Notamacropus eugenii: one gene and its partner. The protein of the gene in region 1 binds, or shares a complex with, the protein of each later gene. Links are inferred from orthologs where the notes say so. Each region holds a gene or a part of one and is shown on either strand. Other genes may lie near its edges.

What was found. Proteins that work in one complex are often made in the same cells at the same time.
Region 2: the proteins of UBE2O (region 1) and NAP1L1 are in contact, whole or in part, in a cryo-EM structure (PDB 7UN6), measured with the Homo sapiens proteins. The link is inferred for Notamacropus eugenii from reciprocal best matches to the Homo sapiens genes UBE2O and NAP1L1. Residues at the interface, in NP_071349.3 of Homo sapiens: Ser225, Asn226, Val282, Lys283, Pro284, Val285, Lys289, Ser290, Lys291, Phe292, Arg293; in NP_001317160.1 of Homo sapiens: Arg333, Arg337, Thr343, Gly344, Glu345, Ala346, Ile347, Asp349.

The regions. Positions count from the first base shown.
Region 1 is NC_092873.1:342,947,324-342,950,923, reverse strand, and holds the start of UBE2O ((E3-independent) E2 ubiquitin-conjugating enzyme), read left to right. Parts: upstream 1-708; 5' UTR 709-729; coding exon 730-1,065; intron 1,066-3,600. UniProt on the Homo sapiens protein: E2/E3 hybrid ubiquitin-protein ligase that displays both E2 and E3 ligase activities and mediates monoubiquitination of target proteins. Negatively regulates TRAF6-mediated NF-kappa-B activation independently of its E2 activity.
Region 2 is NC_092874.1:255,298,287-255,302,106, forward strand, and holds the start of NAP1L1 (nucleosome assembly protein 1-like 1), read right to left. Parts: upstream 2,298-3,820; 5' UTR 2,164-2,297; intron 1,601-2,163; coding exon of another isoform or gene 945-1,600; intron 811-944; exon of another isoform or gene 699-810; intron 1-698. Other genes in the region: uncharacterized protein, read left to right, coding at 945-1,600. UniProt on the Homo sapiens protein: Histone chaperone that plays a role in the nuclear import of H2A-H2B and nucleosome assembly.

The DNA of each region.
Region 1 (3,600 bases):
ACATACACACATACATACACACACATATATACACACATACACACATATATACACACACATACATATACACACATACACACATACATACACACACATATATACCTCCTCATTTGAACCTCACAACAAGCCCCGCCAGGTAAGCGCTGGGACAGTCACTCCCATGTTACACATGAGCAGGCTGAGGCCGAGGCGGTTACCCGACCTGTCCCAGGCCCACCCAGGCGGGCAGCACCTGAGGCCGGCTCCGTACTGGGACCTTCCCGACTCCCACCAGCACACCAGTAAGACCGCGGGCATTCCCAGAGCGCACAAAGGTTCGCCAAGCGCCTCGCCCACGTAAACTGCGCTCTCGGGAACACCTGCTCTCCTTCCGGACCTCACCTTTGCCCCACCCCTTCTTCTATCCGGCCCCCAAGTCCATTTCTTCCTTTCCCGAGTCTGAGCCCCGCCTCTTCCCTCGTGGATTCTTTCCCTTCTTCCGCGTCCATCCTCTCGGCTACCCCTAGCGAGAGCCGGCCTCGGCTCCTAGCAACCGCATCCTCCGTTCCCTGACAACGGCGGGCGGCGCGTCTTACGTCATCACGCCTCAGCCCCGCCCCGTAGCCTTACTCCCGCCCTCTAGCTCCGCCCCCTCCCCCGCGGTACTCCCCCCCCTGCTCCGCACCCCCTCCCCCCCAGTTTCCCTTAGTCCGGGCTGCCTGCGCCGCCTGAGACTCTTGCTGAGCAGTCATGGCGGATCCCGCAGCCCCCGCGCCCGTCGCTCCGGCCCCGGCGGGTGGGCCGCCGGTGTGCGGCCCCGGGCCGGTGGCCGCCGGCTCGCAGCGCCTTCTCTTCTCTCACGACCTGGTGTCGGGCCGTTACCGCGGCTCGGTGCGCTTCGGGCTGGTGCGCCTCATCCACGGCGAGGACTCGGACTCGGAGGGCGAGGAGGGCCGCGGCAGCTCCGGGGGCTCCGAGTCCGGCGGCCCGGGCAACGAGGAGAGCCGCGCCAGCCCCCTGCGCCGCGGCTACGTGCGCGTCCAGTGGTACCCGGAGGGCGTCAAGCAGCACGTGAAGGAGACCAAGGTGAGTGAGGGCCCCCAGCGGGCGGCGGGGGGAGAGGGCGGGAGGACGGAGGTAGCGGGGAGCCGGGGCCCCGGGGCCCGCGTGGTGGCCGAGCCTGCGAGGGAGCCCGGGGGCGGAGGCGGGAAGGGGGCCCCAGGGTGGGGACCGGCCGGGGCAGGTGCACTGGGCCCCGCGGCTCGACCCGGTGCTAAGTCATTGCAGCAGGGCTGAGGGCGAGCCCCGGGTGCGGAGCGCGGGGCAGGGCCCTCGGACTCCCGGACTCTCTGGGAGGTGGTTCTCCGGGCCTCCTCGCGCCTGCTCGGGCCCAGGGACTGAGGCGCCCGTCGGCACTTTGCAAGCTAGGGGCGGGGGTGGAGGGAGACATGGAGCCTGTTCCCGGAGTGCTGAACGCCGACCCCCCGGGGAGCGACACGGGCTGCATTGTGCGCGGCCCAGAAGCCATCCAGAAAGGAGAGGCCCTGCCTTGTCAGTGTAGGCGTCAGGGAGGCTTGGCTGGGAAGTTCCGTGGGGAAAATACGTATATTATATGTGAAATATGTGTGTATTTTTCTTTATTGCGAAGGAATTTGCTTTGCTCTTATTTTATCCCGAGTACCTTTACATAGTTGCTAATGGGGAACTTTGTGAAGGCAAGTCAGATGCTTTGCAGTCCTGAGTAATGGTATGTGTAGTACAGTATTCATGATAACCAAGGCTTGGGGGAGAAACGTTGAGAGCCGAAGAGGGGGTGGTGGTGCTCTTTATAGGAACTGAGGGAATGATGACATTTCAGCATTTGGAAGTGCCTTTGAAAAGGCTGAAATGGGAGCTATCTAGGGGGGAAAAGTTGCTTGTGCATGTTCAGATAGGCGGTGAAAATAAGTGATTACTCAAAAAAGTCAATCTTAAGCATATTTGGACTTCTTGGAAAAAACGCTTTAGGAACCAACCTACTGACTGCTGCAAATCCACTAATTTGGAGTGGGACTTAAAGGGATTTTCTTGCTCCCAGGTTGTAACGGAACATCACTCTTCCATATGGCTGTCTGCATTGGAGCTGGGGGAAATGGATTGATAAATGCTTTGGAAACAAAGGGTTTGGCAGCCTGTAAACTAGGACCAAACATATTTTGTTAGTTTGTGGCTGTTTCCCAAAACGTGGATTGATATCGGTGACACACAAGCACACCCTTGTTTACCGTCTGTGTCCTCTACCCTTCCCTGCCTCTTTCCCTCCCCCCACACCCCCACGATTTTCTTTGCTTGGATAAGGCCTGAAATGTTTCAGCCATCTGGGTCATTGCTATTGGAAGATCTGGTTTTTAGGGAGTGGGCACATGAGAAGTTAGTCCTTTGCTAGATTGGATGCCTCACATGGGGAGACAAAGGAGACTGAGAAATGGAACGTCTTGGCTCATTATGAAGGGGGGGTCTTTGGATGAAGATGTCACTCAGGGAGAGAGGCCCCATCACAGGAAGAGACTGTAATCCATTTTCTAGTGGCAGAAGTGATTGCAGATTCCAGCTGGGTCTTCTACATAAATGCTCACATACACATTTAACCTCTCTCTATTCCCCACCACCCCCAAATGAAACTTGAGTAGTAGCAGTTTCATTCTTAAAATTCATTTGATAATTTGGTTGGAAAATGCTGCTTTTTGCAGTAGGATGTTATGTTAATAAGCACTCATCGTTATTATTTATGTCCTCAGGAAGTGGATGTTTATTGTTCATTGCATATGTCTCAAGTGCGTGGGGATTCTGGTGCCTTTTTATGGGCTTTTGAAAAATGTATTTTTTTCCCCTACCTTCCCTTTTTGTATGTTATAACTTAAATTTTGACTCCTTGCAGCTAGGCTTCTTAATCTTGAGACAATAGAGGAGCTAGTTCCTGATTTCCAGGCTCAAACTCTCTCCTTGGCCTTTTCAGTTCCTGGCTATTGCCATGTTTAAAAGTTGTTTCTGTCTTGGCTTCAGGAGTTACCTTTGTTTACAATTTTGGTTTTATCTGCCTTTTCTGTTTCCCTCCACTCCAGTCCAGTGACTTATACTTTGAATTATCTACTAGTTTTGAAGTCATCATAAAAAAATTACCATATGGTTCCTGCATGGACAAATTCTGAATATAATTCTGAATTAGTTAAAATGTGGTTAGGCTAACTGATTAACCGTGTTAAAACAGCGCTTTTTTAATTTGCTATCATATTCTCGTTTTTGTGTTCCTATCCTTCCAATCAAGGCATATCAAAAGAATGCTTAGAATGTTGTGAATTGTAGCATGATGGACTCATGGAAATAGTTTTGATGAATTTTAGATTTTTGAACATGACAAACAGGGGGCCCATTAAAGATTAATTTTTATATTTAATCAACTTTAACTTATTAAAAATAAATATATCCAAACAGCAACTAAAAATTCTTTGTTACTTGTGCCTGGCATATATTACATACTGAATAAATATTTGTATTTCTGTCTATTCTGATCTTCATGATTGTACCAAATATGTTTTATGCAGATATAAGTAGTATATATGCAATATTTCAAGTAATGTGTTT
Region 2 (3,820 bases), on another chromosome or scaffold:
TGGCCTAGCAGAGCTGGCAGAGGAGCCAGGAAAAACCTAGGTTCAACTTCTAAGCCAAAATAAACCACTTAACCTTTTAGTGCCCCAAGACAACTCTTCTATGACTTTTAAGTTATTGAGAAGGTATAGATCTACATTGGTAGAGAAAGTAAAGGAAGCTCCCTATACTAAATAAATAAAAAATAAAAATCACACGTCAAGTTTCACCCTGCCCTGCCCTCCCCAAAGGGAACTGGTCATTCTAATTAAACATATTGAGAAATTAGCCACAACATGGATACAAACAATCTGAAAAGGAATAAGAATTTTAACTTTATTTCATCAGTCTGGGTAATCAGTTCCTAAACGGGAAAGGCAAAAAGTGCTCTTTAATTAATGAGAAGCAGCCTTGGGAAAGCCAGAAGATCTAGGTCCTTTCTCTGAGACATAGTGGCTATGCAAGCCCCCAAGTCACAGAGGGACCCAGGCAGGTGCTGACCTTGGTAACAGACTCCCAGGCAAGCACCTTCTCTGCAACTTGACAGAGAGATGAATTAGTTATAAACCTCCGGGCCAGGATCACACAGGTCCAGCCCTCTATCCAGTGGCCACGGATTCCCTTCCCCCGGACATTCCTTGACTTGGGACAGGAGACAGACAAACCCCCCAAATTTGTTACTAGTTTTTGCAAATCATTTCAGACCCTCCCTAGGACCTACCACTGAGGGTCAGCCGGTGTTTAATCAGAAGGCCCAAGGAGGAGACATTTCAGGGTCCAAAAGGAGGTTTACTGTTTTTTTCTTGGCAAAGATTTCAACTAGCTCAGGGTTGCTTGACGAGAAAGTAAAGGGAGGGGTAGAGGGAGTCAGGAGGGAAAGGTGGGGGATGATCGGAAGGGGGGCGGGATGATCAAAAAGGGGAAGGGGGATGGGAGGAGGAAGGCCATGCCGGGGGATGATCAGCAGGGGGCCGGGGCGGACGGCGGCCATGCAGCGGCCACCACGTGTTGCGGGCGGCGGACAAACGTCGCCTCGCCCCCGGCCCTAACTTGGCCGCCGCCCCCCGGAGCCGGCAGGGTGCAGCGCCCCCCCGGCCGTGCTCTCCCGCGGGGGTGGTGGGCGCCAGAAGTGTTCGGCTTCGCCCCCACCCGCAGCCACGCGCGGCGCCCCGCTCCCCGCCGGCCCTCCCTCCCAGCCCGGGGTCCTCTCCAGGGGCTGCGGCCCACACTGCTCACGTTCCTCGCCGCCGCCCCGGGCCGCGGTCCTCAAGCTGGGGGTCGGCCTCGGCCGAGACCCAGGCCCCGGACGCTCCCACGTTCGCGCGCAGACCAGGCCCCGGCAGGGCGGGCAAGCCCCGCCGGATCCCCCACGCCCCTCCCGCCTCGGGCCGGCCGGCCGTTGGAAGCCCCGCGCGCTCCCTCCTCTCCCGGCCCGCTCCCGTTACCCGCGGCTGCTGCAGGAACCAGGCGGCCGGAGCTGCGCAGGCTGTGACTCAGGGCGGCGGCGGCGGGAGGAGACGAAGGAGGCGGAGGAGGAGGAGAAGGAGGCGGCGCCCCGAGCAGATGGCGCTAAAAAGACCCGAGAGCCCGCCGCTCGCGCTCATATACAATCAGCGTCAGCACGTAAGTGCCCGTCACCCCTCCCCCTCCCCTTCGGCGGTCACCCGGGGAACGCGGAGGGGGCGGGCCTGGAGCCGGGCGCCTAGCAACGGGGCCAGCTTCCGGCACGCGTGCGGGCTCTCCCCCCCCTCCCCTTGCCGACTTCCACAAACCCTCGTGGCTCTCGGGGTGGGGAGGGTCAAACGCCCCCGACGTCTTCGGCGCGCGTGCGCGTGCTCGCCAGAACGCGGGAAAGAACCCCGGGCTCGGGCTCTCCCGCCCCTAGCCTCGTTCCGGCCTTGCCCTGCCCCTGCGTGGTCCGACGCGTCTTCCATTCCTGCCTCCCCCCCCCGCCCCCCCCGGGGGCATTTGCCCGGGCGTGACGCCTCGTCCCTTCCCTTCTAGGGGATGCAGACTCTTCCCCTTCTCTCGCGGCTGTCTACACTCTCCGGGCTTCCCGAGGATGCGATCCATCCATTAATATTGATTATGCATAAGCGCTCCCTCGGTGCCTAGCGTGGGAAGAAGACCGAGAGAAAAGGGGGGAAGTAACGGGGGGTGGGAGGAGGCAGAAAGAAGCGCCCTACCTGGCCCCCCGGAGCTCGCGTGCCCACCTTCCCGGAGCCGTCGCACGAGAGCTTGGCGTCCCGGGGCAGCCTGGCACCCGGCAGGGGCACTCGCTCAGACCAGTCCGGCCTGTGGCGCTGGACTGACTCATTTATAACTCCCGGAATGCCCCTGCCTCCCCTCCCCCACGGCGAACTTGGTGCTGTCATTAAACTCGGACTGAGGGGAGTCATCTACCCTAATCAGCCAATGTAGCAAATCACCTCCACGGTCTTCACTGATGCAGCCCTCCAGCCCTGCCGTTCTCACTAAAGTGAACTGCCCCCCCCCCCCCTGCTGGGCAGATACTGCCCTCCTGCTGGGCAGATTCCCCCCCCCCCCGCTGCTGGGCAGATACCCTCCCCCCCAGGCTTTTCTATTTTTCCCCCTTTATTCCGCAGGTTGGAAGCTTTCGGTCATCCTTAACCATCCTCCTTCATTCCTTCCTCTATCACTCTCCCTAACCTGGCTTATTTTTAAAGCATTCTTGAAAGGCTAAAATTAGCCGTGTCAGTAATTCTACTTTATTAGGAGTCAATAGGGTATTGAGTACACGGTGAAGACAATCCACCCTTCTAGTGCTGTTTTAATGGTATATTGGCATCCTTTATTATGTGTTTTCACATAATGAAGTGAATGAATATAGCCCAGATTTCGTAATCTGACGCTGGTACCAGCTAGTCACTTTCAGAGCAGTCTTTACACCTACTGATGTCATCAAATCAATTTAAAAAAAAATTCAGCGGAGCAAGGAGAAGTGCAGAAATTCCAGGCTCCTTGAGGCTACTTCTGGAGAAAGAAGGGGAAGTAGAGAACCACAGATCCTGTAGTGTGCACCTCTAGGAAAAGCAGACCATCTGATAGTTTGTGTTTTAACTAATTGTTCTAGCTAACAAAGTGTCAACCTCAGTTTTTTCTGTGCTGGTGGCAGACTGCAGTGTAATCAGCACCTTCTAAATGTCATTGCCCTGAAGCAAAGGTCCGATTGCCCTGCCCTAGTTATAGCTCTGATCATTTCACCAGTCTGAGCCTCCCTTTCCTCCCTTGTACATAAAACCTCAATGGGTTGTGAGGAAGGTGCTTAGTGAATCTTAAATCTCTAAATAATGTAAACCAGCAGTTAGTTGTCAAAAGTGTGGATTGGGATTCCTTTCAGGGGGTCCATGAGGGCAAAACTTTTCATATAATATTAAAACATTTTAATTTCTAACCCAGCAGAAATTAAGAGATATACATTGTACACAGTAACAACCCCAGTGTGTAAGGAATTTGTCTGATAGACTTAGCCCTTCATAGCAATGCAAGGACTTAAAACATTCCCAAAGGACTCTTGAGGCAAAATGCCATCCATATCCAGAGAAAGGACTATGGAATTGGAAAGCATAATGAAGCAGAATATTTTCTCTTGTGTTTAAAAAAAGAAATTAATAGGTATAACCTGCATCAATAAAAGCTCTTTTGGGGCTCCTTAGTAGTTTTTAAGTGTAGTATAAAGGGGTTCTGAGACCAAAAAGTTTGAGAACCCCTAATATAAATTATATATATAGATATAGATATAGATATAGATATGTGCATCTGATTTAATCCCGTACATGTGTGTACACATCTTAGTAAATAAATGCTTGTTCATAAACATTG